Sus scrofa: one gene and its partners. The protein of the gene in region 1 binds, or shares a complex with, the protein of each later gene. Links are inferred from orthologs where the notes say so. Each region holds a gene or a part of one and is shown in the gene's direction. Other genes may lie near its edges. The genes, in order: RAB11A, RAB11FIP3, MYO5B, SH3BP5, MYO5A, RAB3IP and RAB11FIP2.

Region 1 (2,994 bases):
GTCTTTGGGCTGCCCACCTCGGGGCGGGGTATGGGGTATCACATAATAGCCCCTCTTACTGTCTCCATATGGCCTCCTCTTAGTCTTCTGGAGTAGGATATCTTTCTTTGATAGTTTCCAGTCTGTTTTGTTGAAGGTTGTTCAGCAGTTGGTTGTAATTTTGTTGCTTTTATGAGAGAAGGTGAGCTTTAGTCCTTCTGCTCTGCCATCTTAATCCCCTAACTTAATGTTTAAAATCACTTGTAAAGAAGTTAAAATTGGAGTTCCCATTGTGGCTCAGTGGTAACGAACTCGACTAGTATCCACGAAGACCTGGTCCCTCTCAGGGGGTTAAGTATCCAGTGTTGCCATGCACTGCAGTGTAGGTTGCAGATGTGGCTCAGATCTGGCGTGGCTGTGGCATAGGCTGGCAGCTGCAGCTCCAATTCAGCCCCTAACTTGGGAACCTCTGTATGTTGCAGGTGCGTCCCTAAAAAGAAAAATAACAGTTAAAATTTGTAGGGGGGCACATTTAATCAATTGCACTTGAGAAAGAAGTGTCATCCCAGTTTGAGTGTAGAGAGAAATCATTAAGAAAAAAGAATGAATGGTATAGTTTTATAGTAAGTTGATGGTTATCTTTATTCCTTAACAACTAGCCTAATTGAATGATTGTCTTTTTACCCTTGACCCATTCTAATCTCATCCCTTTTCCATGTAAAGAATCTAATCGAGGATTCCATGTCCTTCATATCCTGGTTTTCTTTTTTTTAAAGTTTAGTTAGTAGCTTTCCTTTATTGTAATCTAATTTTTTTCTCTTTGTGCTTCTTTACCTTTGAACCACTGTCAACTTTCTAAAATAAATTTTACACACACCCCCCCAAAAGCATAAGAAAAGGTACAGTGTTTTTGTTAGTTTACATATTCAGTTGATTATAGCTTGTCGTTCAGCTTTAGGGAAATTATTTCTTAATTTGGAGAAAATATATTAACTTAGTTAATACGCTTCTTTTTCTTTAACTTTTTATTGTGGAAAGTTTCCCCCATACCAAAAGTAGGATGGTATCCTGAACTTCTGGGTAGCCATCAACAACTATCAGTTCAGAGCCAGTCTTCTTCCACTCACTCCCTCCCCCATTATTTTGAAATAAATCCCAGATATTATATCATTTCATTTGTAAAGATTCTGTGATGTAAATCTAAAACATAGAACTTAAAACCCATAAAAACAAAACCTAAAAATTAGCGGTCATTCCTTACTGTCCTCTGTTATCCAAACAGTATTAAAATTTCCTGTCTCAAATTTAAATCCAAATGATGTTCATACACTGCACTTGGTCGCTGTGTTCTTGGAGTATTTTGAAAATATGATTCCACTCTCTGTTTTTTAAATATTACAGAAATGATATAGTGAACACATATATCCTTCATCTAAAAATCTCAATTATTAACATTTTGCTGCATTTGGTTTATTTCTACATATATATAAGTATACTTTTTTCCCTTTTGCTCAATATTTGGAAGTTCAGTTGTAGATGTGGCATTTGCTACTAAATACTTGAGCATTTTATCTCTTAGGAACAAGGCATTCTCCTACATAATCGCAATACCATATATCACATCCAAGAACTCCGCGTATACAGTATTGTCTAGTGTGCAGTCCCCTCAGGGTGCACCATGGTGGGTAGAGGACGGCAGTGACTGATGGCTTGATGGTCTCAACATCTTTGTTTACTGTTCTGGCAGGCAGCATTCCTCAGCTTTATTTAATGGTAGAGAAAAAGGTTGCTGCTAAACAACTAGTTCTTAAGTGTCCTAGAAAATCAGTTGCCTGTTTTGAATAGTTATTTAATTACAATTCAACTTGAGTTCAGGAGGCACTGATAAACATTATCTTTCTCTTCTTTTCCAGGAGTCTTTTGGGATTGTGACTAATATATGAATTTGTGTTCATTCTTACATAGCCAATAGAAATACCTAATGTGTCAGATATTGCAAATTTGTTTTAATTTTTCTGTGGTACAGTGTCACTGTATGCAGTGGTTTTTTTGGTAAGGGTAGACCGAAAATACTATCAGGACTTAATTTAGATCTAAGCCCCCAAACTGTGTAATCTCTTTTAACCAAAATTAACTGGTGAACCTTTCTCTCTGAAATGGAAAACCTTCGTTTCTCTTTTTACCCTAAGGGAAATTGTTAAAATAGTGGGTTGACTCTAAATCAGTGGCTGTTTGAAAGTAAAACTTTGAGTATATGCAGTCTCTTTTCAGTTTGTTTATTTTCACGAATATAACTTCTGCCTCTTTGTGTTTTTCATATCACCTGTTGATGGCTCTGTTCACACTGAGTATTGCTGTTTCTTTTTTTTACTCAGAGATATACCGCATTGTTTCCCAGAAGCAAATGTCAGACAGACGTGAAAATGACATGTCTCCAAGCAACAATGTGGTTCCTATTCATGTTCCACCAACCACTGAAAACAAGCCAAAGGTGCAGTGCTGTCAGAACATATAAGGATTTTCTTTTCTCCCCTAGAAGAATGTGTATAGTTCAATTCCCAGGTCTGAGATTTAAATATATTTGTAATTCTTGTGGTCATTTTTGTTTTATTACTTCCTCATACTTATGAATTTTTCCATGTCTTAAGTCTTTTGATTTTAGCTTTATAAAATCATCCACTTGTCCCAAATGACTGCAGCTTTTTTTCATGCTATGGCTTCACTAGCCTTAGTTTAATAAACTGAATATTTGGATTCCTCAATTATTGTTTACTTTTCATCATGGAAGCTGTCACTGTAGGACATAATAGAACTTGATCCCTTGAAGCTTAGACCTATCGGTCTTGATTAAATCAAACTAAGAAGACTCTGGAAATAAGCTATTATTTTGCCACGGAGCAGCTTATAATTAACACACTCTTCTCTCACTTGCAGTGTGTATTTCCATGAATCTAAGAATTGCCCTATAAACATAGCAGAATTTTGAGAGCTTGAAAATTTTCCATTATTCTGGAA
Region 2 (4,232 bases), on another chromosome or scaffold:
TCCGTTCCAGCTGGTCTGGGGACTAGGAGCTGGTGGGCTCCATATACTTAACTTCTTCACCTGGTGGGGTTTCAGCCTCTGCAAAACAGGTCTGAAGGGAGTTCCTGTCATGGCTCAGTGGTTAACGAATCCGACGAAGAATCCACGAGGTTTCGGGTTCGATCCCTGGCCTTGCTCAGTGGGTTAAGGATCCGGCGTTGCTGTGAGCTGTGGTGTGGGTTGCATCCTGAGTTGCTGTGGTTCTGGTGTAGGCTTGGCCTGCAGCTCCAATTAGACCCCTAGCCCGAGAACCTCCATATGATTCAGGGTAAGGCTGTAGAAAAGGCAAAAGGACAAAAAAAAAAAAAAACCCAAAAAAACAGCTCGGAAGATGATCTATCGGAGTTCCCCTTGTGGCTTAGGGGTATTGAACCCGACTACTGTCCATGAGGACGTGGGTTTGTAGGTGTGGCCCTAAAAAAAAAAAGTGATCTATAGCCCCCTTGAGGAGGAGCTAACTAAGGCTCCTTGACTGTTCTGTCTGTCTGCTGCTTGACTCTTTTCCTTTCTTTCTACATTTTTTTTTCACTTTTCTAATTAAATTTACTCTTTGGAACTCGGGGAAGGCCTAGGGGGCTAGTGTTTTCTAAAGACATGAGGAAGGCAGAGGACATAAGGAAAACAAGAAAAAGAAAACACAGGGATAATTTTTTTAAAAAATTATTTTTTTACTAAGGTATAATTTACACGCAGTGAAATTCATTCTCTGGTGATACAATTCTGTGAATTTTTTTTCTCTTTTTACAGTTGCACCCGTGGCATATGGAGGTTCCCAGACTAGGGGTCTAATTGGAGCTGCAGCATATGGAGGTTCCCAGACTAGGGGTCGAATCGGAGCTGTAGCCGCCGGCCTACGCCACAGCCACAGCAACGCGGGATCCGAGCCGCGTCTGCAACCTTGACACCGGATCCTTAACCCGCTGATCGAGGGCAGGGACCGAACCCGCAACCTCATGGTTTCTAGTCGGATGCGTTAACCACTGCGCCACGACGGGAACTCCTGTCCGAGATTTTTAAAAAAGGCCTCTGCGTTGGGCCACCCGTTCCTTGGGTCACAAGTGAGGGACCGCATGTTCAGGGCCCTTCCACACTCAGGCCGGGACTGCGAGCCACGGTTGCGGGAGGAGGATGTCACGCGCACTTCGCTCGCCCGGTTGGATCGCATCCGTTGCTTATCAATTTGAGGGAGCTCTTTATGCAGGCAAGACGCAGTCATCCGCGTTGCGTGTGGGGGTGCATGACGTCACGCCCGGGGTTGCTGCCTTCCAGCGCATTCGCCCCCTTTACACCCAGCCTCCCGGTGCCGCAGAGGAAGGGAGACCCACATACAGCCCCACAGCTTCGCAGCGCGGCTGCCTGCCTTTATAGCAGCCCGGCGAGGGGCGGAGCCAGATGGCGGCGCGACGTGATGACGTCAGGCCGACAGAGGGCGGGGCGAGGGCGGCGGCGTGAGCTCGGGTACCGCGGACACCTCCTCGTCCTCCTCAACCGTGTTCCCCTCAGCGTCCTCCTGCGCGCCGTCCTCCTGTTTAGGGTCCTGATTCTCCAGATCCCCCTCCTCGGCGACCCGCTCCTTAGCCTCCCCTCCTCGTCCTCACCCTCGGCTTCCTTGTGCCACCCGCCGCCGCCGCCGCCGCCGCCATGGGCCCGCGCCCGCCGCGCCGCAGGGCCGAGGACAGCTGAGGCGCGGCGCGAAGATGGGCGAGGGCGGAGCAGGGCCCGAGCGCCAGCCCGAGCAGCCCGGGCGCCCCGCGCGCGCCCGCCCGCGTCGCCGCGGGGATGCCCGCGCCCGCCGCCGCGCCCTGAGCGCCTTTGTCTGCCGCCCGCGCCGCCCGCCGTTCCACTGGCCTCGCGGGCCTGCGCCGCGGCCGGGGGCGCGCCCATGAAGATGGAGCCGGGCCGGCCGGCCTCCCCCTCGGGCGGCCCGGGCCCCGACCCAGACCCCGGCGGGCCCGGCGCGCCCTCCGCTCCCGCCCTCCACCTGGGGCTCGGCCCGCAAGACCCCGAAGCCGGCCCGGAGGCCGGACGGGGCCCGGGGCCGGAGCGGAGGCCTCAGCGCCTTGGCCGGGCCCCAGACCCGGACCCCGACTCCGATCCCGACCCCGACCCCGACCCCGACCCGCCGCTGTCGGAACTAGGCCCGCTTTATTCCTGGACCGCTGAGCCGGAGGGTGACGGCCCCCCAAGCTGCCCGCACAGCGCGACAGCCCGCGCGCAGGATTTCAGCCGCAGCCACCACCTGCGGGGCGAGGTCGACTTCTTCCCCCCCTTCCCCTCGCCCGAGGTCGGCGAGCCGGCGCTGGAGCTGGGTCCCGGGGACCCGGACCGGCCCTCGGACTTCAGCCAGACCCGCCCCTTAACGAGCGAGCCCGCGGGGTGTCCGGAGGACGCCCCCCGGCTCCGAGCCGTGTTCGAAGCCCTGGACGGGGATGGAGACGGCTTCGTCCGCATCGCGGACTTCGTCCAGTTCGCCACCGTCTACGGGGCAGAGCAGGTAACTCGCAGCGTGGGAGCCGGGCTCCGTGCGCGGGGGTCGCGGAGGGCACTTAAGGCCGGGGTCCGCGTCCTCTCGTGCTTGACTTCTGCCCTCACCTCTGGTCGAATTTCGCCGAAGCGCCTCTTTCCCCTTGAGAGAGGTTCTAATTCCGGGATTTAGTGTCTTCCCTGACGTCTCAGGCCACACAAGCTGGATATTTTCCTAAGTCGAGGGGAGCGCCTGGCCTGGGGACATGCCCCCAGGCTGCCCGATGGAAGTGCCCTCCGCAGACGTGCCCGCCGTTCCCCCAGCGGAGGGCCCAGGTCTGGTCGGGCTGAAGTAATTCGCTCCTTGGGTCTGCCACGGGGCACCTGGACGCTTAGGGATCATGTTCCAGACGTCTATTTTGAGCGCAGTTACTTTACTGTGTGTGGTTGGCATATGTTCTCCATAGACTCGTTGTTTGGGAGACGCCGAATGCCAAAAAATTTCACTGCTGTTCCTTCTGTGCAGAAGGGAAAGAGAGGAAGCCCAGAGGGAGGGGAATGAGCCTCGGAGCACCATGGTGCATGCAGACTTGAGGAAGCCTGAGCAGAACTGCCTCAGGGCCACCTCCTCGCCTGTGGGGCAGGTGTTGGGAAGGCACAGTGCAGTGGGGCAGGGGGTCCTGCCCAGCCCCCCGGGGCTGTGGCTGCGCTAGGAGGAGGTGGCCCTCACCCTCCAGTCCCTCCCTCCCAGCGCTTAGGAAAGTTTAGGTGGAGACAGCAGCAGGGCTGTGTGTGTTCTGGTATTAACCCAAATACATGCAAATTGATTACCGACGTTCACTTGTAATTTTTTTTATTTTTGCCTTTATTATTATTATTTTTTTTAGGGCCACACCGGCAGCATATGGAGGTTCCCAGGTTAGGGGTCACATCAGAGCTGCAGCTGCCAGCCACAGCCACATCAGATCCGAGCCACATGTGCAACCTACACCGCGGCTCGCAGCAACGCCGGATCCTTAACCCACTGAGCAAGGCCAGGGATCGAACCTGTGTCCTCATGGATGCTAGTCAGATTTGTTTCCACTGAGCCACGACAGGAACTCCTACTTGTAAATTTTTGACTTAGGAATAGGAAATTCCTAAAATGCTGATCTGCTAGTTTTTGTGTGTTGCTGACTTCTCACACTTGCGGACATTCGTAAAGTGGCTGTTCAAGCGTGGATACATGTTTAAGCCCAGAGGTCTTTAAGAGGCATCATTGACACCCTGCTTTTCAGAGCATCCGTCATCACGTTAAGAGCCTGTACAAGGGATCCGGGTGCCCGTGAGTGTTGACAGTGTCCATTGAGCTGTTGGGTGCAGAACCGGCTTGCCTGAGCTCAGGTTCCTTGTTGAGGTCCCGGCCTGGGAAGATGTGCATGTGGCAGTGGGCCTGCATGTCGGCGTTGGGTCTGTGGGACGCCCTGCTTTAGCTCTGGGTTGGAAGATCTTGCTTGAGATTGGGTTTCCCATCTCTTAGTCTGACGGACGGAGAGATACACAACTGATAATATCCTGTGTGCTTAGCTTGGACCGAGATGGCTGCTCCAGGTGCTTTTGTTTGTTTTTTGTTTTTTTGTCCTTTTAGGGCTGCACCTGCCTGGAGGTTCCCAGGCTAGGGGTCGAATCGGAGCTGTAGCCACTGGCCTCCACCACAGCCACAGCAACACGGGCTCCGAGCCGCGTCTGCG
Region 3 (4,189 bases), about 64 Mb from region 1:
TTTGTGCCAGGTATGATGGAAGCCAGAAAGTTGGAACTGGGTTGGGGGTGGGGAGAAAGGAGGGTGACATGAACCTCAGGTTGGTCCAAGGGCCTGGCAGGATTGCTAGCATTGCCTATCTGGCAGGTGGAAAAGTGGGTCTAAAGGTTAGAATTGGATTTGAGAGTTAATATTGCAGTAAGAGATGAAATGGGGGTGTGCCTGAGAAGAAATGTGAGATCTGGGAAATGGGCCACAGCTTTATTCAGGAACCAGGAAGAGAAAGCAGAAGGTGTGGTTAGTGAGGCTGGGAAAACAAGAGAAGAAGAACGACAGAGGCTAGGGGAGGAGGTGGTTTAACAACATGGGGAGAACCAGTTACCAGCCCGTGCTTCAGAGGGAGATGGCAATTTCAATAGGATGGAGCTGAGAGGAAACCATTTTGGAGGGTATTAAAGCAGCAGCTCTTCACCTTGGCTGTCATTAGAATCATTTAGGAACTCTTAAAAACCCCTTTGCCCAGGCAGCATCCAAGACAAGTTAAATCAGAATTTCTGGGAGTGGGAGCCAAGCATTTGCTTTCGTAAAAGTGATTCTCATGCAGAAAATGTTGAAAAACAGTGAATTACAGAGGGACTGGGTGTGGGTAAGTGGAGCCAGCAGTAGAAACTACCACTTCAAGAACTTTAGTAGAAAAGGAGAACAGAGGAAAAGTCAAGAGCTAGTGGAGAGATGGGACCACGGATGGAGCATGGTGGTGGAGCAGGCAAGGACATATGGAGCAAAGGTGGGGATTGGGCCTTCCTAGCCCGAGAGGAAAGAATCTGTGGCAGGGGTGAGGACACAGGATGCCAAGCCCCACACCCCGCCTTTCTGATGGGAAGGTCTGTGATGAGGCCCCATATGTTGTATTTCTAAAAAGTTCCCAGGTGATGCTGATGGTCCTGGGTGGTGGGGCGGGGTGGGGTGGGGCTGTCACACTTTCATAACTATCAGGATACGGGGAAGGAATAAGGGGAAGGAAACTATGTAGACAGATTTTTGAGGGAGAGAGAAATGATGGAATCATTTCCTTTTTGTTCTTCCCAATGTTATGAAGAGCTTCCTTTCAGATCCAAGAAGAGTTGCCCAAGCTTTGTTCACTTCCTTTATCAACCCTGGAAATAAAATCCTTTAGAATTATGGAGGAACTTAAAACTTCAGATGCTTGGGTCTCACCCTTCAATGAATCCGAGTTCCTCAGGGTGGGGAACCCCTTCCTTGGAAGGGCTTTAAAGCTCCTCAGGTGATTCTTACTGAGGAAGCATAGTCGAGAAGGGCTGCAGGTGGATTAAATGGAGATCCTGTCTTCCAAGTGGGAGGGTCTTAAATGGGATGAGTTTAAGAATCACCTTTCAGGGAGCGGGGCTCTAGAACAATTGTTCCAGCGACATAGATGGATGCTTTGGTTGAGAGCCACTCTCAGGGGCCATCACTCATTCAGGTACAAATGCCACCTCAAAAGACCAAATGTTTCTTCCTACAGCTCCTGCGCTCCCTTTACTGCCTCCTGCCAATTAATTTCCTCTTTGGCTGAAATTTCTACTTTATGTTGCAAGCAGAAGAGGGAGTGGCGCTGCCAATGTCACTGGCAGAACCGACAAAAGTAAATCAGGTAGGCAGCGGCAGAGGGACTGAGAGTGCGTGTGAGAGAGAGCGGAGAAAATGTGAGACTTCCCAGAAAAGCAAACAATTTTCTGATGGGGGTAGGGAGCCTAGCCGCAAGCTGTGGGTGAAACTGTCAAAGTGGAGAAGACTTCAGCTCCCACCTTTCCGATCAGGATTTCAGCGCAGGCAGCTCAGTTTGGCGGAGACAATCTTTGGTATATCCAAATCACCCTAATCTACGACATAACGATTTTTAATGATGCAGGTATTGAATGTAGCCCCGTAAATCCAGAGGAAAATGTATGGAGTCTTTCAGCTGCAAGCATTTCTCCTTTTTATTCCTCTTCTCCCTTCTCGGATACTTCCACCTCTTTTTTTTCTGATCTGCACCGGATCCCCGCCCACCGCAGGTGCCCGGACCCGGAGCGCACCTGTCCGGAGCGCGCCGGGCGTCCAGCAGGGGGCAGTCGGCGCCGGCTCCTTGCGCGGCCCCGCCCCCGGCCAGGAGGACCCCTCTGCGGCGGGGGCGCGAGAGGGCGCGGCGGGTTCGGCCCGGGCAGGGCTCAAAGGCGGCGGCGGCAGTGCGTCCGCCGCCCGCTCGGACGCGCGCCCGCCCTCTCCCTTCTCGGCCGCCCCCCTCGCCCGCGCCGCCTCCCATACCTGAGCCGGGAGCGGCGCTGCGCGGCCTCCTCCCCCGCCCGCCCGGTCGCCACTCCTGCCCGGCCGCCGCTGCGCCGCCACTGCCGCGGGAGTAAAGGTCGCGCCGGCAGAGAGCGAGCCGGCTGCGGCGCCTCCAGGAAGCCGGCGGGGCAGGTTGGAGAAAAGGGGAAAGAACCGAGAAACTCTCGAACAGCCCAGGAAGATGGCGCCAGGAGGGCCGGCCATGGACTGAGAGCCGCTGGGGCCGCGAAGAGCCGGACCCGCCCCCCATTGGGGCACGAGCGAGGGCAGCCCGCCAGGCACCGAGCTCGAGCCCGGGCCCGGCCCGGCCTGCGGGGTCATGTCGGTCAGTGAGCTCTACAGCCAGGTGAGTGCGGGCCGCCTCGGGCCCGGGGCACAGGTGAGGGCTGAGGGGAGGGCGGTCCTCGGGGGCGCCTTCTCCTGCGGCTCGGCGGGTAGGGGCGGCGGTGGACGCCTCTCAGCCTGCCCCCTCGCCGCCGCCTCCGCGCCCCGAACTTCGGGAGGCAGAGAAAGTTTGGCTGTTCCGGGAGCGCCCCGCGCTGACCGCCCGCGGCTCCCACCCCTGGCAGGCTCCCTGACTCGGTGCGGTTGCTGTTCTCGCCCCAGCTCAGTCCGGTCGAGGTCCCGATACCTTAGGAGCGACCCCACCAGTTCGGAGCCTCCGGCACTAGCACAGCCCCCCACGGTGCTCCCCTGCTCGTGGACCCCACATCGGGGCTCTGCATCGTGGGCTCCCAAGGGCGACCCTCGCGTGCCATTAAGGGGGATCCCTCAACTTGGGGGGTGTTCCTACATTTGGGAGTGGGGAGAGGGGGGACCCAACCTGGTGTGAGAGGCGCGGCGGCTGGGGTGGGTGGGTAAGCGGTGGGTGGAGGATGCTCCAGGGAGTTCCCGGGGAGGTGCATTCTCACTGTGCCAAGGATGGGCATTTTGAAGCGGGCGCTCGGCGGGGGGCACTTGGTGGGCTTCAGTCATTTCGGGGAAGGAATCGGAGTAATGCTGACGCGGGGGTGGAGTGTGGATTTACACGATGCTCTCAAGGTCAGAATGGATGTGTGTGGGGTTTGGTCCTCAAGAGTCGGGAACAGGTGCGGCCGGGCGGAGAAGCCCCGGTTCCGCAGCAGTTGCTTTGATTAAAGTTAGAGGCCAGCCACCGCTTCCTGAGCGCCCTCCGCGGAGCGGCAGTCGTCTGGACCCCTTCGGGTTTCAACTTGGCGCGGGGTGAGGGGTGGGAGTGGGGGTGTGAGAGGGGCAGAGGCCTTTCAGTACGAACCCCTCCCCTCTCAAAAAATAAAAAATAAAAAAAGTTTTGCCTGTTGTGACACCTAGGCTGCAGGCTTATCTTCTCTGTGGCCGGGACACATTTGACAGTGCCTCGCACCCACCTTTCTGCATGCAGAGGGGTGCGTGGTGTACGCTTGGGGTGTGTGTGTGATCCAAAGGACCAAGGCCCCTGGCCAGCAGGTCTGGGCGGGGAGCAAGAGCTACTTCCGCATCCTCACCTGGCAACTGCTCGCAGCTGCCCTGCGCGTGGGCGAGCCCTTCAGCTTTGTGGACTGGCCACCCATTTTCATTTGAAGAATTTTCTAATCCCTTCTTCCTCTTGGAGGGGGACAAGGCCCAGTTGGGATGACAGGAGATGGCAGTAGAGGGTGTAACCTGGCTGGGGGCGGAGTCTCAGCAACTTTGGCTACGTGCTCCTCCCCCATCTAGGTCCCCTGATGAATGACGGCTTCTAGGAGGAAAGGGTGTGAGGTTTGAGCCAGCAGGTGAAATCTCTGGCGTTTCTGGCTTTGGAAGGGCACCCCGCCTAGTTTCCCGTGGGAGTCTTGGGCGGTCAACTTTCAGTTCTTTTCCTGAAGTGGGTTGTCCTGAACCTTGA
Region 4 (3,987 bases), on another chromosome or scaffold:
CCCTGCAATTTTGTAGTGAAGGAGACATTAGCAATGGCCAGTGGCAATGTCCTTGCCTGCTTCACTAAAGTCATCTGACTTTCTGCTCCCCTGACATCACAGTGGATCTGACATTTCATAAAAGCACAGATATACCCTTATTCTTTGGCTTTTTGTGATGTTGAGTTTGCCAGGCAAGTAAGTTCTGGCTCCCTACCTGTTTGGGTGGGCAGGAAAACTTACTAGCTCATAAATCCTTGGACAGAGTGTGTCCATTAACAGGGGTTACACTCACATCTTTTTTTCTTTTTCTTTTTCCCGCTACCCCTGGAGTATATGGAAGTTCCTGGGCTAGGGGTTGAATCAGCACTGCAGCTAGGTCCCTAACACCACCAGCCACAGGCAAGGTGGGAGCCGAGATGCATCTGCAACCTATGGTTGCCTGCAGCAAGGCTGGAACCATACTCATTGATCGAGGCCAGGGATTGAAACTATCTCCTCACAGTGACACTGTCAGGTCCTTAACCCACTGAGCCACAATGGGAACTCCACACACTCACATCTTCTTGAGAAGGCTGTACCCACCCACTGATCTGTGGATTTTCCATGCGTCCTGGCTATTCAGGGAGGATCACCTAACCCATCGAAAAGCACGTAGCTTGGCCCAGTGGGGGCCACAGCCTTTGGACCAAGAATCCACGCATGGAGCTGCAGCTGGCTCCTCTCTTTATCCTTTTGTGTTTATGTGAGTATATGTTGTAGTTCCCTGTTCTGGGGAAATCTTCAGGTGGATTCAATTCCCAAGGTCACCCACGGGGGCAAAGCGCTTCCAGTGTATACAGGAGTTTGAGTGAGTCTTGAAACTGGTCCCGGGTCACTGAATACCAGCTTCTAAAGGTGACTTCAGACAGTGGCAATACCCCTAACTTCCCTTCCAAGCAGTTAGTTTGCCTGGGCAGAGGAGGGAGGGAGAAAAGCACTCTTGTCACCAGGCGGCTGACGTTGGGGAGCTTGTGATCTCTCCGGGCTGCTAAGTTAAAAGGGGTGAGGGCTCCTCCATTTCACGACCCTAAGGTTTTCCGGGAGTGAGGTTTTGTGACGGAGCCCGGGTGCCGGGGCCATAGCTGGGGCCGCGCAGGGCGGGCGGGCCGGCCTGGGGCGGAGCGGGCGGCGCTGCGCTTACTGCCGCGGCGGACAGGGGGCGGCCGCGCCCACTTCCTCCTGCTCGGGGCCGGGGACCCGCGGCAGCAAGCGGCGCTTCCAGAGCGCACCGGGCGGTGGCCAGACGGCCCCGGCCCAGCCTGCGAACGCCACTCCTGCGCTCCGAAGTCCGCCGTTCGCTTCGCTCTCCGGCCACCCGCATGGACGCGGCGCCGAAGCGGAGCCGGCCGGAGGAGGCGGCCGAGCTCCCGCCGCCAGCCCGGGACTCGGAGGAGGAGGAGGAGGAGGAGGGGATGGAGCCAGGGCTGGAGGAGGAGGAAGAAGTGGACCCCCGGATACAGGTAGGGCGCGTGGATCCCGGCAATGGCACTGAGCCCGCCTCGCGGTCCCCGGTGCTTGCACCCGGGAGAGGTGGCCGCGTAGGTCCGGGGCTGGAGGAGACAGTCAGAGTACCCGGCTTCACCCGGTTCCTGGGAGGCTGCGGTGCCCGCGTGGACGCGGCCTGACTCTATCGCGGGGATTACCCCGCAGGATCCGTGGGGTCGCCGCAGCGTGTCCGGCGGCTCGGGAGGGTGTGCAACAAAGAGAAAAGGGGGCGGGGGCGCCACGCCGGGCTCCCGGAGCCCGAGGGCCGCGTGGGCGCGGGCCGGGGGCGGTGGGCGTCGCCGCCCCTGCAGCAGGGTGGCCTCTCATGCTTGGGGTTCGGAGCACTCACCTGGCGGAGGTGCCCGGCCTGAGCCTGCCTGAGCCTTCTCCCTCTTGCTTTGATTCGTTGTTAGCAGGACGAAGGGTTTATTGTCACCACGGCTCAGCCCTCCGCTTGGCCTCAAATGGTTTAAAACCCAGCGTTTCCTCCTTTTGAGGTCGGCAGTGAACAGAAATTGGGGGCTAACAGCGCAAAGCTAACGTGGCGAGAAGGCGAGGGGATTGGCCTGGCTTCCTTGCCTCCATTTCTCTGGGAGATGATTAAAAGACAGTTTCCAAGCCGAGATCTAGCAGCGACAGCTTAACCTCTTCACCCTCTGGGGAAAAAGCACAGCATATTCCGTTCCAAGACTCTTTCCATAAATCATTTTTTAAAATAAATATTGTTTTGCAGCACGCGATGCGATTTCTGAAGACCTAATTGGTTTTTCAGTGCGCAGATCAATTAAAAGCTCATTTAACTCAGCTGTTGGCGTTTAAATGAATTGTTACGGCAGGTTAGCAAGACAAAGATCAGGTGGAAAAATCTTTACATTAGGAATTCTAAATAAAATCAGTTTGAACTACTAAATTTTGTTTTCTGGGTAGGGGAATTCTGTTGACAAGATCCTTTGTTTGCAGAGTAAAATGAGTTAACTTCATACTGGGCACTTTTTTTTTTTTTAAACAAAATGTCAGTTTGTAAATGTTATTTAAAGATCAATGTTTATGTTAGTTTTAGTTTGTTTTGTAAACAGCTAGGAAGGTTGAATAATTGGCAGTTTGAAAAGATTTTCGTCTCTAAAGAAAAATACTCAACCATGGATGAGTAAGTGCCAGAATTCTGCCTTGATATAAATCATTTCACTGGGTTTTTACTTTTGGCATGGTTTTGTTTGCTTGCTCTTACTGGTTTGGGTTTTTTTTTTTTTTTTTTCTTTTTCCTGCAAGTTTTTGCTCTAAAGCAGAGGGTTATTGTTTGGATTCAGCCCTTAAATCATTGTAACAGGTGAGTTTACCTGAAGGCACATACCTGGAATAAAATATTTGACCTTCTAAGAAAAGAAAATTCCTCGGACCTTAGTCATTTTCAGAAGGGCTACCACCCAGATAAAGGTTTCAGAAATGCTGACATTTCATTTGTTCTTTAGCCAAGGCTCAACTGTTTTCCTTGAAAATTAATACTGACTGGTTCCTCTTCCTGCAAATGATGCTGGAGTAATTTTGCAGGTTGGGAGGGGGGCAGAGTCATACCAGAACAAAAGACAATCCCTGAAAGCTTTTTCTCTCCCTTTTCTTCATCAGGGAGAACTGGAGAAGTTAAATCAATCCACGGATGATATCAACAGACGGGAGACTGAACTTGAGGTACAGAAAGCTGGGTGCTTGTTTTTGGGGAAGTGGCGTTGTCTCTCTGACACCAGGCTGGTTCATTTTGTTTTAAGAGGTGGTTGCTGGCATTCACTTTCGCAGTTGAGCAACAGCCTGCGTCTGACAGAATAAATACACCACTGAGTCCAGCTTGTGGGTGGAACACATGTGGATCCAATTTCATATATATTTTTTTAATCATGGAACCTCCATGGGGCCAAAAGCAAGGGCTTTACACAGACTTAAGCCCTGAAGTTAATGTGTCTGTGGAAAAGTTAAAAGGACTGAAGGGGAAATTGGCTGTGTACTTCAATGGACAGGAGTGAATGAGGTCACACAAATCTCTTAAGCATTTTAAGGGAGCTCCTTACATTGGTGCTTGGAAATAGTGTGTGTTTCCTTAGGAAGATTTAGATCTTTATTGACTTTCTGGGCTGAGAACCCTTCCCTCCCCCCACACCCCTACCCCGCTTCTACCCCTTTATTTATCGACTGCTTGTGCGTGGAATATAATCATCTCAATGGTAATGAAAGGCTGTTTTTATTTATTTATTGTCTTTTTGCCATTTCTTGGGCCGCTCCCGCGGCATATGGAGGTTCCCAGGCTAGGGGTCGAATTGGAGCTGTAGCTGCCAGCCTACGCCAGAGCCACAGCAACGCAGGATCCGAGCCATGTCTGCAACCTACACCACAGCTCACGGCCACGCCAGACCCTTAACCCACTGAGCAAGGCCAGGGATCAAACCCACAACCTCATGGTTCCTAGTTCGATTCGTTAACCTCTGAGCCACG
Region 5 (4,274 bases), about 45 Mb from region 1:
GCAGTATACCCCATGGTGACACACGCCCTGAACCCCTTCTCAGCATACTCAGCATTTCTCAACAGTTCATGGAGGTAGGTACTATCAGGAGGGTAAAAAAATAGTCAATACACAAAGCATGAAGAAACTCAAGAGATAGAGTTCAAAATTCTTAAATCTCAATCCAGTGCCCTTTCTGGTGTACTGCTCATAGCTGCATGGTTTCCTCTTTTGTATGTCTGGGCAAAGAAAAGATAGGATGTAAAAACGTGAAAGATACATGGCTTTAGAATGGAAAGTACAAAGAATTCTGCAGGATTCTGTAGCTATTCCTCTGGCATCTCTGAAAAGATTGTGGGCAGTGAGTAAGGGGAGGCGAGACCTGAGTTCCAGGGAGCACTTGACCCAAGTGTCCCCCTCATCAGTGCTCTCCCTTCAAATACACATGCAGGATACACACACTACCAAGGGGGCTAGCCTTGAGAGGTGGTCTTGATAGAAACCATGCCAGATTCCCAGGAATGGCACTGGGTATCACATGAGCACATTAAAAAGAGGTTGAAAAATTATGACCATTAGCCAAGCCAGAATGAAAGTGTGACTTGGGAGCAGGTATATGTGAAGACAGCATGGGCGGGGGGGGGCGGAAAGATCACATTCTTGTGCTCAAAGTGCAAGGATAACAACGATTAGATAGAGAAAGGGCCGGGGCAGAAAGGTAGTGGCACCACTAGGCACAGGCCTGGAAGCAAAAGAGGCTCCAGGGCTGCCTCCTTTGCGCATCTTGTTACAAGGCGCACTTATATCTCTGCAGCTTAAAACAGGCCCATACGATCCTGCATCAAGAAACGACCCTACTGCAGATGCCGAGGGGTGCAGTCATCTTTGGGGTGACCTTGGTTATTCTCTCATTATCCCGTTCCTTGCTCACTCCTAGACTTCTATACTGCTAACAAGGCTCTTCTGGAATTCTAAGTTATTCTATGGCCTTCCAAGAAATCTCGCCCCAAATCATTTCCCTAGAAATGTTTGGAAGCACAGGTGAAGCAGCCTGGAGACTCCTAGCCTTTTCCCTGGACTCCTTCAGTGACACCAACCTTCTCAGGGCTGAGCTGTCACAGTCCAGGGCTCGCTTGGGATCGAGGGAGTCCAGGGGACGACATGCCCCCCGGGACGGGTGTGCAACCGGCAGGTGTCCTAGGGCGGGCTTCTGGGTCTCGGCAGCGCGGGAGGCGGCGGCGGCGACGACGCTGGGTGGCAGGCTGCTGATGCTCGGTGCCCGCAGCCGATGGGAGGCAGCGTGAGCTGGAGAGAACCCGGAGCAGCCGAGGTGGTAGCGCGGGAGCGCAGCCTCCTCCCGCTCCCACAATGCACAGGGCGGCGGCGGCGGCGGCAGCATCACCGTCCGCCAGGGTGGCTGCGGTGGCGACCCCGAGGACCCCGGGCGCGCCGAGCGCGCGGCACTACTCGCGGCGAGCCCGGGAGTGATGGCGAGGCCCCCACGGGCCGCCTGCGTCTGAGGGGCCCCGCCCCGCCCCACCCGGCCCCGCCCGGCGCGGCCCGCCCCGGCCCTGCCCTGCTCGCTGCCGGAGGCAGCCTGGGCGCTTCCTAGTCGGCGCGGGCGGCCGCCCAGGCGAGGTGCGGCCTCCGCACGGACTGGGGGGCGTCGGCGCCGCGGGGCCCGCCATGGCCGCGTCCGAGCTCTACACAAAGGTAAGGCGCCCCGCGAGTCGCGCTGTGGGGAGGGGACCCCGCGGACCCACGCCGCCAGCTGTCATACTGGGGAGGGGCATGGGGCTTGAGGACCCGGTTTTGCTGGGCCGGTACCACCCCTTTCCGAGCATTTCAAAACCCTTGGCCCTGCTCGCCGGCCGCCAGCCGGCGAAAGCGCCTTCCTCGTTCAGTCGTTGATGATTAAGGCGGAGGAGGCCTGCCTCGGGTGCCTCTCTGGCCCCTGCCAAGCTTCTTGGGCTTCGAGCAGTGCGGATTTCTAAGGGAACCCGTGTGGATTTAGTAGGGCGGGCCTGGGTCAAGATTGCTCAGCCTTCCGTCTTGCTTTAGGAAAAATGCTGGCTTGTGGGAGATGCTAGATCTGGTCGGTCCCTCCCTTGGGGACACGCGCTTAAAATAACGTCTTGTGTTGGTATGCGGTGCCACTTCTACCGCCAGCCAACCTTTCTGTGTGAGATTTAGAATCTTTCGCCAGTTTTCACCTTTAGTTGCCTGGTTTCAGATTTTTACCCTGGGGTGGAGGGCCCTTGGGGAGCAGGCGGCGGAACAAACGCGAGCTGATTCACGGACTAGAATAGAATGGTCGGCATTCATTTGTCACTGGGAGTTTGCAACCTGCGTATAATCCCTTAGAGCCTTGTTAGGCTCCATGTCTTCACCAACCTCTGCGGCGAGCCTTCTCCTCCTGGGTTTAGTTTAAGGGAAGTAGCAGCCTTTCTTTCTTATACTGACGCTAGTATTCTCTGGGGCTGGTAATATCTGAATGGCATGTTTTGGAGAACCATACCTTCAAGACAGTGTAATGTCCTTTGTGACTGTGTTGTCATGGCATTTTACACTTTCACTCCCTTGTAGGTAGTAGGTGTTTTGCCAGCTGTTAACTACCTCTAATTCCGGTTAACAGAATTGCCTTAACTTTTCAAGTTGGCATTTGCAACAGCGTCTACATTTAGGGTCCAAGAATCCTTGTATCCAAATATTACCCAAGCAAGCCCTGGGCCCAAGTTGCAGCATGTTATTGAAGGAAGAGGTCTAGACCTGCCATTTAGAGACCCGGATTCTAGCCCTGGATGCTAGCCCTGGCCTTTTGAGTTTCTGTGTGACCTTGAGCAAATCACCTAACCTCTGTGGAGTTCCCCATGTGTAAATGAGGTTAATTACACCTGCTCTGTATCTATTACAAGGCTGTTGTTGTGAGGATCAAACTTTAATAATAGATGAGAATACTTTGTTTAACCTGTGAATTTCTGTGCAAATATGAGGTATATTTCTTCAACTATGAAATGGGTTTGCTTGAAACATTTCCTAGGATTTCTTTCTTTCTAGCTGCAGATTTGAAGACTGCACAGTTGGAACTTCTCTCTAAACCTGGTTATTCCAAAGGCATTTTAGATCTTTAGTGTACGACAGAATGCAATTGGAAATTTTGTAACAAACATTTATATAAACTATGTGCAAGGTACTGTTTTAAGTGCTTTACAAGTAATAACTCATTTATTTTTTATTTATTTATTTGTCTTTTTGCCATTTCGTGGGCCGCTCCCTTGGCATATGTAGGTTCCCAGGCTAGGGGTCCAATCGGAGCTGTAGCCACCGGCCTATGCCAGAGCCACAGCAACGGGGGATCCTCGCTGCGTCTACAACCTACACCACAGCTCACATCAACACCAGATCCTTAACCCACTGAGCAAGGCCAGGGATCGAACCCGCAACGTCATGATTCCTAGTCGGATTCGTTAACCACTGAGCCACGACGGGAACTCCATAATAACTCATTTAATCTGCATAATAAACATATGAGGTAGGTACTAAGAAATCAGAGTCGCTTTCACAAGAAGAGTAAATATCCCTTAGTTACTTTGCATAGACCTTATTCTTCACTAAGGTTTTGGGCTTTGGTCATAGCTTCCCCACAATCTGTTTTAAAGTTCACCCTCTAGTCACTGTAAAGACACATTGATTTAGACATCAGTGGAGAAATTGAGCTTAAACTGCCTTCTCTGAAATATGTTTATACCTAAGAATAATCTAGTCACTTGGTTTGTTTGCTAGCAAATTCGTTTTGTGAATGGGCCTTATCTTAATGGTGGGCAAAAATATTTATTGAGCACCTCCTGAGTGCCAGGTACTCTGCTTACTGTTGAGAGGTTCTAATATGAACAAAACACAGTCCTTTCCCTCAAAGGGCTTTCAGCCTGCTTCATATATTCTTGGCCCACTTTGAATCTCCAATGGCATAAATAACCTGCTGTTACCTCAGCGGCAGGCAGACAGCTGGCATGGTATTTATTTGTAGAAGTTAGAAAACGGGTTGGGACTTGGAGGTTGGAATGATTCTAGAGATAAAAGCTTGGGTAGTGATTATTAGAGGAAGAAGGAAATCATTAGAGGTAACATCAGTGGATAAACATGAGGATTTATCCCTTACAGAGGATTATAGAGAAGGAAGTTCTGGGGTTAGACTACAAAGAAATTTGTAATAGTGACATGCTATAATTATAGTATTCACCCATCGTGGTTAAATCTGAAAAGTGCCCCTTTAAAAAACATCATCCAGAGCTTAA
Region 6 (4,161 bases), on another chromosome or scaffold:
AGTTTGCTGCATGTGCAGTTTATTCATTTTGCTTGGTTGTTATCAACATATTTGTCTTCTTGATTATGTTTACGTGCTTGGATGATGGAGATTGTGTGTAATGGTTTCTCTGTCCCCACATCTAGCAGTAGGCACACAGATCTAGCACGATAAATGTTTGATGAATGAATGACCTAGCGTAAGGGAGAATAGTTAGGAGTCCATTAATGAGGAAGGTCATGTCTAGTTGCAGTAAGAGATGGGAGAGATTTAAGAATTATTTGGGAATTAGAATGGTTAAGACTTGGTATACTGGAGACGTCGTATAAAAGAGTAAATAATGACTTTCTGGGTTTCTGTTTGTATCATAGGTGGATCATAATAATGATGTTAATAACAGCTAATCTTCACTAGGCACCCTGTGTCATGAAGTACACGAAGTATTTTGCATATATTAAACCATTTGATTTCTTAACGACTTAGGTAGGTAGTTTTATTATCCCCACTTATTGGGGCTATTAGATAACTAGCCCAAGATCACCGATACAGATTCTAGGTGCCAACCCCAAACACAGCAATTCTGATTTCTATAGCCATACACATACTCTTCTCTACTAACTCCAATAGACGTGATCAATATAAAAAAAAGTGTGTGTGTCCTACTGCACACATATATCATGTATATGTGTATATCTCTTTTACTAAACATAGAAACGCGTACTGTGATGTGACTGCTTCTTTTTGATTAGATTTTCGGGATCCTGGTTTGTATTTTCACTTTTCCTCTCTGGAGAACCTAAAGTGAGGTGGAAGTTTGACAAAAGAGTTGACATAAAAGGACGAGAGAGGGCAGGTACAGAAACATTCTCGAATGCTCTAACAGCTGCTGGAATGCTGGGATCTAGGTTCTATCAGACTCCTCCCACCCATCCCCCGAGAGACAGACACACGCACGCAAGCACCGGCGCGCGCACACACAGACACACACACACACACACTCACATGCACATTGTAAGGTACAAATGCACGCCAAGTCTCACGTTGGTTCTAGCGGTTCTCAACTCACATCGAAGGTTCATTTTCCGACACCTGGAGAGCTCAACACGCTTCAAGTGAATCCGAGACCGCCTGTTGAGCCCAAGGAAACAGGGCTCAGAGCGGGTTCGCCCTGGTTCCCAGGGAAACCGCCCGCGGAGGCACCTGGGGCGGCAGCCCCACACCTGCGAAGAGCCCCGCCTGGCGCCAGGGGGCGCGGCAGCGCGTCGGCCTCTCTGGCCCCGCGCTCGTCCGCCCCGCCCCCTCCCCGCCCCTATCCCCGCCTTCCTCCGCGGGGGCCCGACCGCTCCCGGCTCCTGGCCAGGCTCCCGGCGCAGGCGCAGTCCCGCACTCCCTCGGCCGTGCACCCGCCGCGGTGGAGTGTAGCGGCGTCGGCCGGCAGTCCTCCTCTCCCTCAGACTGCTTCGAGGCGCGCTCTTTGAGGCTCTACGAGCGCCCCTGAGCGCGGGCCGCGGCAGCGGTGAGTTTGCCAGGTGAGTGCGGTAGCGGGAGGGAGAGGCCCGGGACGCGGAGCACCGCCCCCCTCAGCGCCCGCCTCCCGCGAGCCGGCCTGGAGGGGCGGCCGCGGCAGGTGCAAGTGAGGGCGCGGCGCGCGGGGACCCTGTCCTGGCCCGACGAGCGCGCTCCCCGGTTTGGGCTCGCGGGCTTCGGGACCTCAGGGGCGGCGGCGGGGGCTTGGCGCCTCGGGGCATCAGGGCGCCCCCTGGGGCCGCGGTGGGCGGCGGGCGGCGGCGGCTCCTCCTCTGTCCCCCGGGCCCAGGCGCGTTACTCATTAACTGCGCAGTCCCGAGTGCCCAAGGCGGGAGCCCGACGCCCGGGGCGGGGAGCGGGACGCCGGGTTACCTGTCGGCCGGGCGCGCGCGCAGCCAGGAGCTGGGGGCCTGGGATCTTGGGGGAGTGTAAAGAGAGTTCCCGAACAAGTCTGGAGCCTAGCGCGGCGCGGAAGCTGCACCCGGCGAGGCAGTAGGCGTGGACCGGGGGGTCCTGGGGACCGAGAGCCCGGGCACCGCGCCGAGGCGTAGAGGTCACTCTCGCCAGGTTTCGGCGAAACCTGGTGGGCAAGAGCCGGTGCCCGGAGTCTCGCCTTAGAAGGCAGCTCAGTGCAGCCTGACTTTTGTTTCGGGGAGTTGAGAGGAGCTGCACAGACATAATTGTAATTGCGCTGCCCTTCCAGCGTGGACAACTCGCTCCGACCGCCCCGGGAAAAGCGAGCTTAATGGACTCTGGAAGTGGTGATGTTAGATGGAATCTGCGGCACGTGAAGAGTTGCCAGTTGTTATGGGATTAAAACAAAACCTGTAATGGCTAAAGGGTAAGGTCTTGAAAATTAAGAGCGCTCAGTTAATACCGATTATGAAGAAGCTAACAGTTTAGTTTCGTGGAAATGTATTATATTCCAAGGCTACCTGTTTCCCACTCCTCTGTTTCCCCTTCCAACTCCTTCATTTCAGAGTAGGGAAAGAGCTGTGTAATCTTTTGCCGTGGAATGATTACATAATTTGAGGAGAGGCCGATAAGAGGATTAAAACAAAACTGTTCTATTGTAAATCTGTTGAAAGGCCCAGTTTCTGTTCATTATCCTCAATCTTATTTTGTGCATGCCATTTTAAAGAAAAAAAAAATGGTGAATGACATATCAAGGAGAAAAGAGGCAGGATGGAGAAAAGGGCCAGAATAGATTTGTAGACCAATCATAGTCAATATTTGATACTGTTAAATATTCCAAAAGTTTTATGGGGCTTTGTTCTGTTAACATTTGTTATTTATTTGCTGGTACCATGCATTTTGATAGGACGTTTCATGTTTGGACAGATACTGTATCCCAAATATGGTTTCTGTGATCTAATCCTAAAGCCCTTGTAGAATTTATAGAAATACACTTGCAGCTATATAGTTTTACTACAGTAGCATATTTCTTACTATTAGAAGAAGAGCCTTTTCATTTTTTTCTTTTTCCACTGTGGTAACGTTATATATTTATGCTTACCTTTGTGAACCCAAGTGGGACCGTTTAATGTAACTTTTCCTTAAATGTTCGGCAAACAACTCATCTGTGGTATTGAATGCCTCTAACTTTTCACCAGGATGGATACATGATGTTCACCTGCTTTGTGAATTCTCTGACTAGTGGGGTTTCTAATTAGATCCAGTTGTAGCTTTTGAATTCGTATAGCTGTGTATATGCTCTCTTTCATTTTATTTTCCTCCAATTTTCACTAAACTTTCAACTCCTGCAACACACACATAGACACTCTACAAATAATTTTTAAAATTGAGTCTTGGAAGTCTTTGTCATCACCTCGTTTTTTGATATGGTAGAACAAAAACTTGTAGATTACAGCAATTTTACATGTATTACTGTAGTTAGTATACCTTTTCCTCCTCCTTTTCTGAGCAGAACTCACTGGATCAGTTTTAATGAAAAATTACTTCCCTGTTTTTTAGCATTTTAGCTCCATTACTTGCTATGCATATGACTTTGAGTAAATCATTTAACTTCTGAGCTTATTTTTTTCCATTTATAAATGGATATAGTAATAGGTTGAACCATATGAATTTGCCAGTATTCTGCTGTTGTAACTATGGCTCAACCTAGAATGAACTTCCTTATAGTGGCATGAGAATTAAATGGGATACTCCATGTGGGAGGTGGGGGAGAGGAACAGATAGCTGGAGAGAGGGCCATGCTTGTTGCTTCAGGTACCTTGACTCCTTTAGTCCTCAGAACATTCCTGGCATATAAGTGGTGTTACTGCTTTTTACAGATTAGGAAATTAAGGCTCAGAGAGGTGAAATAACTTGCCTCTGGTTATTTAGTTGTCAGTGGTCCTGTAGCTGACTAATGGCAGAGCCAGGATTAAACGCCCAGTGTGACTGTCCAAAATGGAACTCCTAACAGGCTTGCTCCTTCCATTCCTGGACCACACCTTCTGTGAAAGAGCTTTGTGACTACAAGAAGACATCCAGATGAAAGATGTTGTTATTATTTGTATTTCTTGTTAAAAAACATCCAGGTTTACTGATGATGGTGATATCTGCACATCTGCTCCTCCTGTGGAGTCTAGCGCTTGTGGTGTATCAGGTTCTGGTCTAAACATCATGCCAACTCAAAACTGACTCTCACAG
Region 7 (4,084 bases), on another chromosome or scaffold:
TGCAGTCTTAACACATCCCAATTTTCTTCACTTAACAGAGTCCATCCGTCTTCGCCCTCAGGGTAAGTAAGGAATTTGTCAGTCGCCCTTGGTGAAGGAGGCTGTTTGTTTTCTTAGTTGACTTCGTTTTTAATACTTGCAGATTGACCACTGGGTTTGGCTTCTGAAGTTAGATGAGTGCCCAGGGGTTCCTTTTGATGTTAAGCCCTTACAGTTGTCATGGGGTCTCAGCCATAACGGAGAGCTATTTTAACAGTGAAAAAAACCAAGCCTCAGGGAAGGGAAATAACTTGACCAAGGTCGTTCAGACTGATGGTAGCAGATGTGGGATCAAGAACTAGGTCTGTGTCCAGCCCAGTACTCATCGTGACCTTTATTAATTCCCTGTGTTGGCTTTGGGATCTTTTTCTCTGCTTCCCTCTCTTCTGTCATCTGAGTAGGGGGTGGCATTCCAGTCAGTTAATCGCCTCTCTTTTCAAATAGAGAAGAGTGACTGAGGGTTTGGGGAAAGGTGTGTTTTTCGGCCAATGAAGGGGACTGATTTATTTCACCGCTATTCATCGAATGCCCGCTTGGTGCCAGGCACTGGGCATCCCGGGTGCAGCAAGGACAGCGTCCAAAGATTGAAACCGGGTTTCTCCCTAGGCCGGCAGTTCCTGGCCTAGACTGCTTTCCTCTCGGAGCGGTCTTTCGCTGTCCCCAGAGACTCCTTGACGTGCGGGTCCCCAACTCCCCGGCACCCCGGATCGTGACAAGGACCAAGCGAGGTGAACCCGCTGGATCAACACGCTGCCCTGGGAGCCGAGCTCGCGGCCTCAGCGCCCACGCGGCACACCCCCGGTCACCACGGCAACCAGGGAGGTGCTGACCCCTGACCCCATGGCTCCGCCCGGCCCCGCCCCACGCGTTCCTGAGATCAACATGGAGAAGGCCAACCCGGAAGTGCCGGCGCCGCCCGCCCGGTGCTAGGAGCCGCCGGCTCCGGGAAGGCTGAGCCCCGCGCCCGCCGCCGTGCTGCCCAGGGCCTGTCCCTGGTCCTCCTGCTGCGGGGCGGCCGCCTCCCCTGCCCCTGGTCCCACTCCACCCCGCGGCGACCCGCCCCCGCCCCACCTCCGCCCGAGAGGAGGAGCCGAGGCGAGGGGAGGAGGAGGAGGGAGAGGTTTGCGAGAGGGAGCGAGGCCGTGCGAGCGGCCGGCGGTTCGTATTACCGGGGTCGGGAGGAGGAGCCCGACCGGGCCGGTGGACCTGCACCCGGGAGGCGCGGAGGAGGCGGGGGCGGCCCGGCCGCGAGGAAGCGGGCGGGAGCCGGGGGCTGGGAGTCCGGGCAGGAGGCGCCCTCCCACTTGCGCCGCCCGCAGCCCGGGCCTTGGCGGTCGGGCCTTAGCTGCCCGCAGGCCCGGGAGTCCCCCCCCCACTCCCCGCCGCCGCCGAGGGCCGGTCCCGAGGGCCGGCGGAGCGTTGAGGTGTGGACGCGAGGCGCGGGCCTCCGCGCGGAGGCCTGGACGGCGCGGCCAGGTGATGGTGGGGCCCTGTGTTTCTCCAGAGGAAAGGGGACCCCCAGAGCAGCCGTCTTTGGGCTGCCCCAGCGAGGCGTTTGGACGTCAGCCCTAGGGAAGTCGGGCAGCTGTGCGGTTGCCTGTCTCCGTAAGTGCCCTTAGGATGCAGTGATTAAGGAATTAGGCTCTCCCTCCCGGGAGGGGCACTGCCTGCGCTGTGAACTCGGTGCAGAGAAAAAGGACAGGATGATGCTTTCCGAGCAAGCCCAAAAGTGGTTTCCGACCCACGTGCAGGTCACCGTGCTCCAAGCCAAAGATCTTAAGCCAAAAGGCAAAAGTGGCACCAATGACACATACACTATAATTCAGCTGGGCAAAGAAAAGTACTCCACCTCCGTAGCTGAGAAAACGCTTGAGCCAGTCTGGAAGGAAGAGGCCTCTTTTGAGCTCCCTGGATTGCTAATGCAGGGGAATCCAGAGAAATACATCCTTTTCCTCATAGTTATGCACAGGTCCCTGGTGGGTCTGGATAAGTTTTTAGGGCAGGTGGCCATCAATCTCAATGACATCTTTGAGGACAAACAAAGAAGGAAAACAGAGTAAGTTATGTAATTTATTTTGAATTGGGGGGAGCGTAATTTTATCTTCTTTATGGATTTTTCTGTTCTTGGAAGTTACTTGTCTACCTGGGGCATGGGTTTGGGGACTGAAATATGACCCAGTTTTAAGCACCATATTTGCATGAGTCTGAAGTAAAAATAGCCCTTGTGAAGAAACATTTTCATAAATGGAGTCTTTAATGATCCCTTACTCTCTCACTTGTTCGAGGCAAACATCTTCGTTAACTGAATGTTTTGCACACGATTTTAAGTATATTAATATTGTTTCACTTCTAAGAGGACAGGAACAGTGTTGACCAGCTAAAACAACATATATGTAAAATGTTATACTCTTTAAACATTACAGTTTTTCAGGAAATGGAACAGCCATCAGAAAGCCAAATCTGCCAATGTAAGGTCTTTTAGATGGGTAGATAGATTGATTGATTTTGCAGTTGAACTCTTACGATGTCAAGTGATAAATTACCCAAGTTAGGACTCAGTATTTTATTTCAGCATTATAAACACAGTTGGCTTTTATTTTAGCTCAGGCATTTTTCAGGGTCAGCACATCTCGATGGAGTCTAAAGCTGTTAAAAAAAAGTTTCAAAAGTGGGTACCAACATCCTCGACCTTGAACGCCATTACTTCCAAGTTCTGCAAAGCCAGGGTGTTTAGACCATATTACATGTTGTCAGATTGGAGACTGATTAAATTCTTGTGAGGAAATGATTTAATGACATCTTCAGTAAAAATCATAGGCCTTTTTAATCTGACTTCCAAACGTAGAATAGATATAGAGTCTAATTTAAAAAGCCATAATATAAGTTAAAACTAGGATGTTATGTCTTAAATTGAAAAATAGTATGTTTTCTGAGGTAGGGATACCCAGCCCTTCTTTAAGCTTGTAATTTCTCTCTTCTGAGAGAACATTAAAGCTGATGGAATTTATGAGAGAAAAATATGGGTTGCATTGACAAGAGGACTTCAGATTTCAAAACTAACTTTGGTGTTTCAGTTATAACTGAAATTTTATTTACGATTTAAAAACTTTTATAATGATAACTTTCTTGAAGTTCATGTTTTATTTTAAAACAACCACCTCTTGTTCCTTCTGTACATACCTTCCTGCAAGCTGCTCTGGATTGGAATTTTTATTTTTATTGAAAAAAATGTTTTTGGAGTCAGTTCTTTACCTAAGGTTTAATGTATGTCTAAATGGTAGCGTGAGAAGTAACACTAGGAATGCAGAGGAAAAATGGTAACTATTTACACTACCCCGAGAAGGTGAAAATATTTTAAGGGCAGAAAAAGGTTTTAAAAAAGTGCAAAGTTGAATATATATGAATGATTTTAATGATGTTTGGTAACTACAAAGTAGCATGCAGTTACCCCCGAGAAGTTCTTCATCAGATTTAAACTGCAAAGTGGATAGTCCCCAAATAATTTCTTTCAAATTGCCAATTTCGGATGACCTTTCATATAAGATTTAAAGTGTTTTGAATGTGAACTTTTAAGTAGATTGCATCTTCTGATTTCATACTGTATTTACAGTACTTTTAATGTTCATGAATGATGTACTGCAGGCCTTCTCTGGAATATAAATTTTCCAAGTGAAAAATAGGCCCAAGTGTGAACCCAGAGATTCTGAGGCTGAAATAAGCCTTTAAAGTTTCTTCTTGTTTTACTCCTTATCTTTGGCAGCATCACAATACAATAAATTTGGCTGTAAGCAATACTCTTAATATTGTCGTCTCCCTACAGAAATTCTCTCTTGGCTACTATATAAAATGGATTAGAACTTTTGGGGAGGAAAACGCGTTTAAATGTTATCAGCAGGGCTTGTGATGTTATTGCCTTCAGCATGATTTTCATATGTTATTAATCCCTAATGTTTTCTTTCTTTGTGGCTAAATGGGGACCACGTATTTGATGAGGTATCTTTATTGGTAATATTTCTAGTTTTTTAATATATTGAATGGCTTCCTT

What was found.
Region 2: the proteins of RAB11A (region 1) and RAB11FIP3 are in contact, whole or in part, in a crystal structure (PDB 2HV8), measured with the Homo sapiens proteins. The link is inferred for Sus scrofa from reciprocal best matches to the Homo sapiens genes RAB11A and RAB11FIP3. Residues at the interface, in NP_004654.1 of Homo sapiens: Arg33, Ile44, Gly45, Val46, Glu47, Phe48, Ala49, Thr50, Trp65, Arg72, Arg74, Ala75, Ile76, Ala79, Tyr80, Arg82; in NP_055515.1 of Homo sapiens: Asn731, Phe732, Gln735, Ile738, Asp739, Arg740, Ile742, Val743, Met746, Glu747, Pro750, Ser751, Leu753, Glu754, Val755, Lys756.
Region 3: the proteins of RAB11A (region 1) and MYO5B are in contact, whole or in part, in a crystal structure (PDB 4LX0), measured with the Homo sapiens proteins. The link is inferred for Sus scrofa from reciprocal best matches to the Homo sapiens genes RAB11A and MYO5B. Residues at the interface, in NP_004654.1 of Homo sapiens: Leu11, Lys13, Arg33, Glu35, Ile44, Gly45, Val46, Glu47, Phe48, Ala49, Thr50, Gln63, Trp65, Glu71, Arg72, Tyr73, Arg74, Ala75, Ile76, Thr77, Ala79, Tyr80, Arg82, Gly83; in NP_001073936.1 of Homo sapiens: Ile1627, Gln1628, Gly1629, Leu1630, Trp1706, Met1710, Arg1713, Tyr1714, Ser1717, Gln1718, Glu1721, Arg1724, Gln1745, Leu1747, Gln1748, Leu1749, Lys1750, Lys1751, Glu1755, Ala1759, Leu1763, Tyr1779, Glu1786.
Region 4: the proteins of RAB11A (region 1) and SH3BP5 are in contact, whole or in part, in a crystal structure (PDB 6IXV), measured with the Homo sapiens proteins. The link is inferred for Sus scrofa from reciprocal best matches to the Homo sapiens genes RAB11A and SH3BP5. Residues at the interface, in NP_004654.1 of Homo sapiens: Tyr8, Asp9, Tyr10, Leu11, Lys13, Glu35, Phe36, Asn37, Leu38, Glu39, Ser40, Ser42, Thr43, Ile44, Phe48, Lys58, Gln63, Trp65, Tyr73, Ile76, Ala79, Arg82, Gly83; in NP_004835.2 of Homo sapiens: Asp42, Ile45, Gln46, Leu49, Glu50, Asn53, Thr56, Ile59, Asn60, Glu63, Thr64, Glu67, Lys240, Tyr243, Leu247, Leu250, Glu251, Ile253, Ser254, Asp255, Ile257, His258, Arg261.
Region 5: the proteins of RAB11A (region 1) and MYO5A are in contact, whole or in part, in a crystal structure (PDB 5JCZ), measured with the Homo sapiens proteins. The link is inferred for Sus scrofa from reciprocal best matches to the Homo sapiens genes RAB11A and MYO5A. Residues at the interface, in NP_004654.1 of Homo sapiens: Arg33, Glu35, Ile44, Gly45, Val46, Glu47, Phe48, Ala49, Thr50, Gln63, Trp65, Gln70, Tyr73, Ala75, Ile76, Ala79, Arg82; in NP_001369276.1 of Homo sapiens: Ile1660, Gln1661, Trp1738, Met1742, Arg1745, Tyr1746, Ser1749, Gln1750, Glu1753, Arg1756, Gln1777, Gln1780, Val1781, Lys1782, Lys1784, Met1795, Glu1818.
Region 6: the proteins of RAB11A (region 1) and RAB3IP are in contact, whole or in part, in a crystal structure (PDB 4UJ5), measured with the Homo sapiens proteins. The link is inferred for Sus scrofa from reciprocal best matches to the Homo sapiens genes RAB11A and RAB3IP. Residues at the interface, in NP_004654.1 of Homo sapiens: Phe36, Leu38, Glu39, Asp127, Leu128, Arg129, His130, Leu131, Arg132, Ala133, Pro135, Thr136, Leu156; in NP_783322.1 of Homo sapiens: Asn367, Thr368, Leu369, Ser370, Ile371, Glu372, Pro373, Asp412, Arg424, Thr428, Cys431, Asn432, Thr435, Tyr439, Leu444, Val445, Lys446, Gln447, Gln448.
Region 7: the proteins of RAB11A (region 1) and RAB11FIP2 are in contact, whole or in part, in a crystal structure (PDB 2GZD), measured with the Homo sapiens proteins. The link is inferred for Sus scrofa from reciprocal best matches to the Homo sapiens genes RAB11A and RAB11FIP2. Residues at the interface, in NP_004654.1 of Homo sapiens: Arg33, Ile44, Gly45, Val46, Glu47, Phe48, Ala49, Thr50, Lys61, Trp65, Arg72, Arg74, Ala75, Ile76, Ala79, Tyr80, Arg82; in NP_055719.1 of Homo sapiens: Glu478, Ile481, Asp482, Asn483, Leu485, Val486, Met489, Glu490, Pro493, Ser494, Leu496, Arg497, Val498.

The regions. Positions count from the first base shown.
Region 1 is NC_010443.5:163,885,248-163,888,241, forward strand, and holds the end of RAB11A (ras-related protein Rab-11A), read left to right. Parts: intron 1-2,354; coding exon 2,355-2,494; downstream 2,495-2,994. UniProt on the Homo sapiens protein: The small GTPases Rab are key regulators of intracellular membrane trafficking, from the formation of transport vesicles to their fusion with membranes.
Region 2 is NC_010445.4:41,282,199-41,286,430, reverse strand, and holds the start of RAB11FIP3 (rab11 family-interacting protein 3), read left to right. Parts: upstream 1-1,432; 5' UTR 1,433-1,447; coding exon 1,448-2,533; intron 2,534-4,232. UniProt on the Homo sapiens protein: Downstream effector molecule for Rab11 GTPase which is involved in endocytic trafficking, cytokinesis and intracellular ciliogenesis by participating in membrane delivery. Recruited by Rab11 to endosomes where it links Rab11 to dynein motor complex.
Region 3 is NC_010443.5:99,808,135-99,812,323, reverse strand, and holds the start of MYO5B (unconventional myosin-Vb), read left to right. Parts: upstream 1-1,389; 5' UTR 1,390-1,414; coding exon 1,415-1,462; intron 1,463-2,173; exon of another isoform or gene 2,174-2,626; coding exon of another isoform or gene 2,627-2,653; intron 2,654-4,189. UniProt on the Homo sapiens protein: May be involved in vesicular trafficking via its association with the CART complex. The CART complex is necessary for efficient transferrin receptor recycling but not for EGFR degradation.
Region 4 is NC_010455.5:2,582,802-2,586,788, reverse strand, and holds the start of SH3BP5 (SH3 domain-binding protein 5), read left to right. Parts: upstream 1-1,187; 5' UTR 1,188-1,340; coding exon 1,341-1,481; intron 1,482-3,129; coding exon 3,130-3,192; intron 3,193-3,987. UniProt on the Homo sapiens protein: Functions as a guanine nucleotide exchange factor (GEF) with specificity for RAB11A and RAB25. Inhibits the auto- and transphosphorylation activity of BTK. Plays a negative regulatory role in BTK-related cytoplasmic signaling in B-cells.
Region 5 is NC_010443.5:119,164,277-119,168,550, forward strand, and holds the start of MYO5A (unconventional myosin-Va), read left to right. Parts: upstream 1-1,474; 5' UTR 1,475-1,665; coding exon 1,666-1,692; intron 1,693-4,274. UniProt on the Homo sapiens protein: Processive actin-based motor that can move in large steps approximating the 36-nm pseudo-repeat of the actin filament. Can hydrolyze ATP in the presence of actin, which is essential for its function as a motor protein. Involved in melanosome transport.
Region 6 is NC_010447.5:34,001,830-34,005,990, forward strand, and holds the start of RAB3IP (rab-3A-interacting protein), read left to right. Parts: upstream 1-1,361; 5' UTR 1,362-1,508; intron 1,509-1,646; exon of another isoform or gene 1,647-1,665; intron 1,666-2,209; 5' UTR 2,210-2,336; coding exon 2,337-2,347; intron 2,348-4,161. UniProt on the Homo sapiens protein: Guanine nucleotide exchange factor (GEF) which may activate RAB8A and RAB8B. Promotes the exchange of GDP to GTP, converting inactive GDP-bound Rab proteins into their active GTP-bound form.
Region 7 is NC_010456.5:128,108,150-128,112,233, reverse strand, and holds the start of RAB11FIP2 (rab11 family-interacting protein 2), read left to right. Parts: upstream 1-1,284; 5' UTR 1,285-1,742; coding exon 1,743-2,095; intron 2,096-4,084. UniProt on the Homo sapiens protein: A Rab11 effector binding preferentially phosphatidylinositol 3,4,5-trisphosphate (PtdInsP3) and phosphatidic acid (PA) and acting in the regulation of the transport of vesicles from the endosomal recycling compartment (ERC) to the plasma membrane.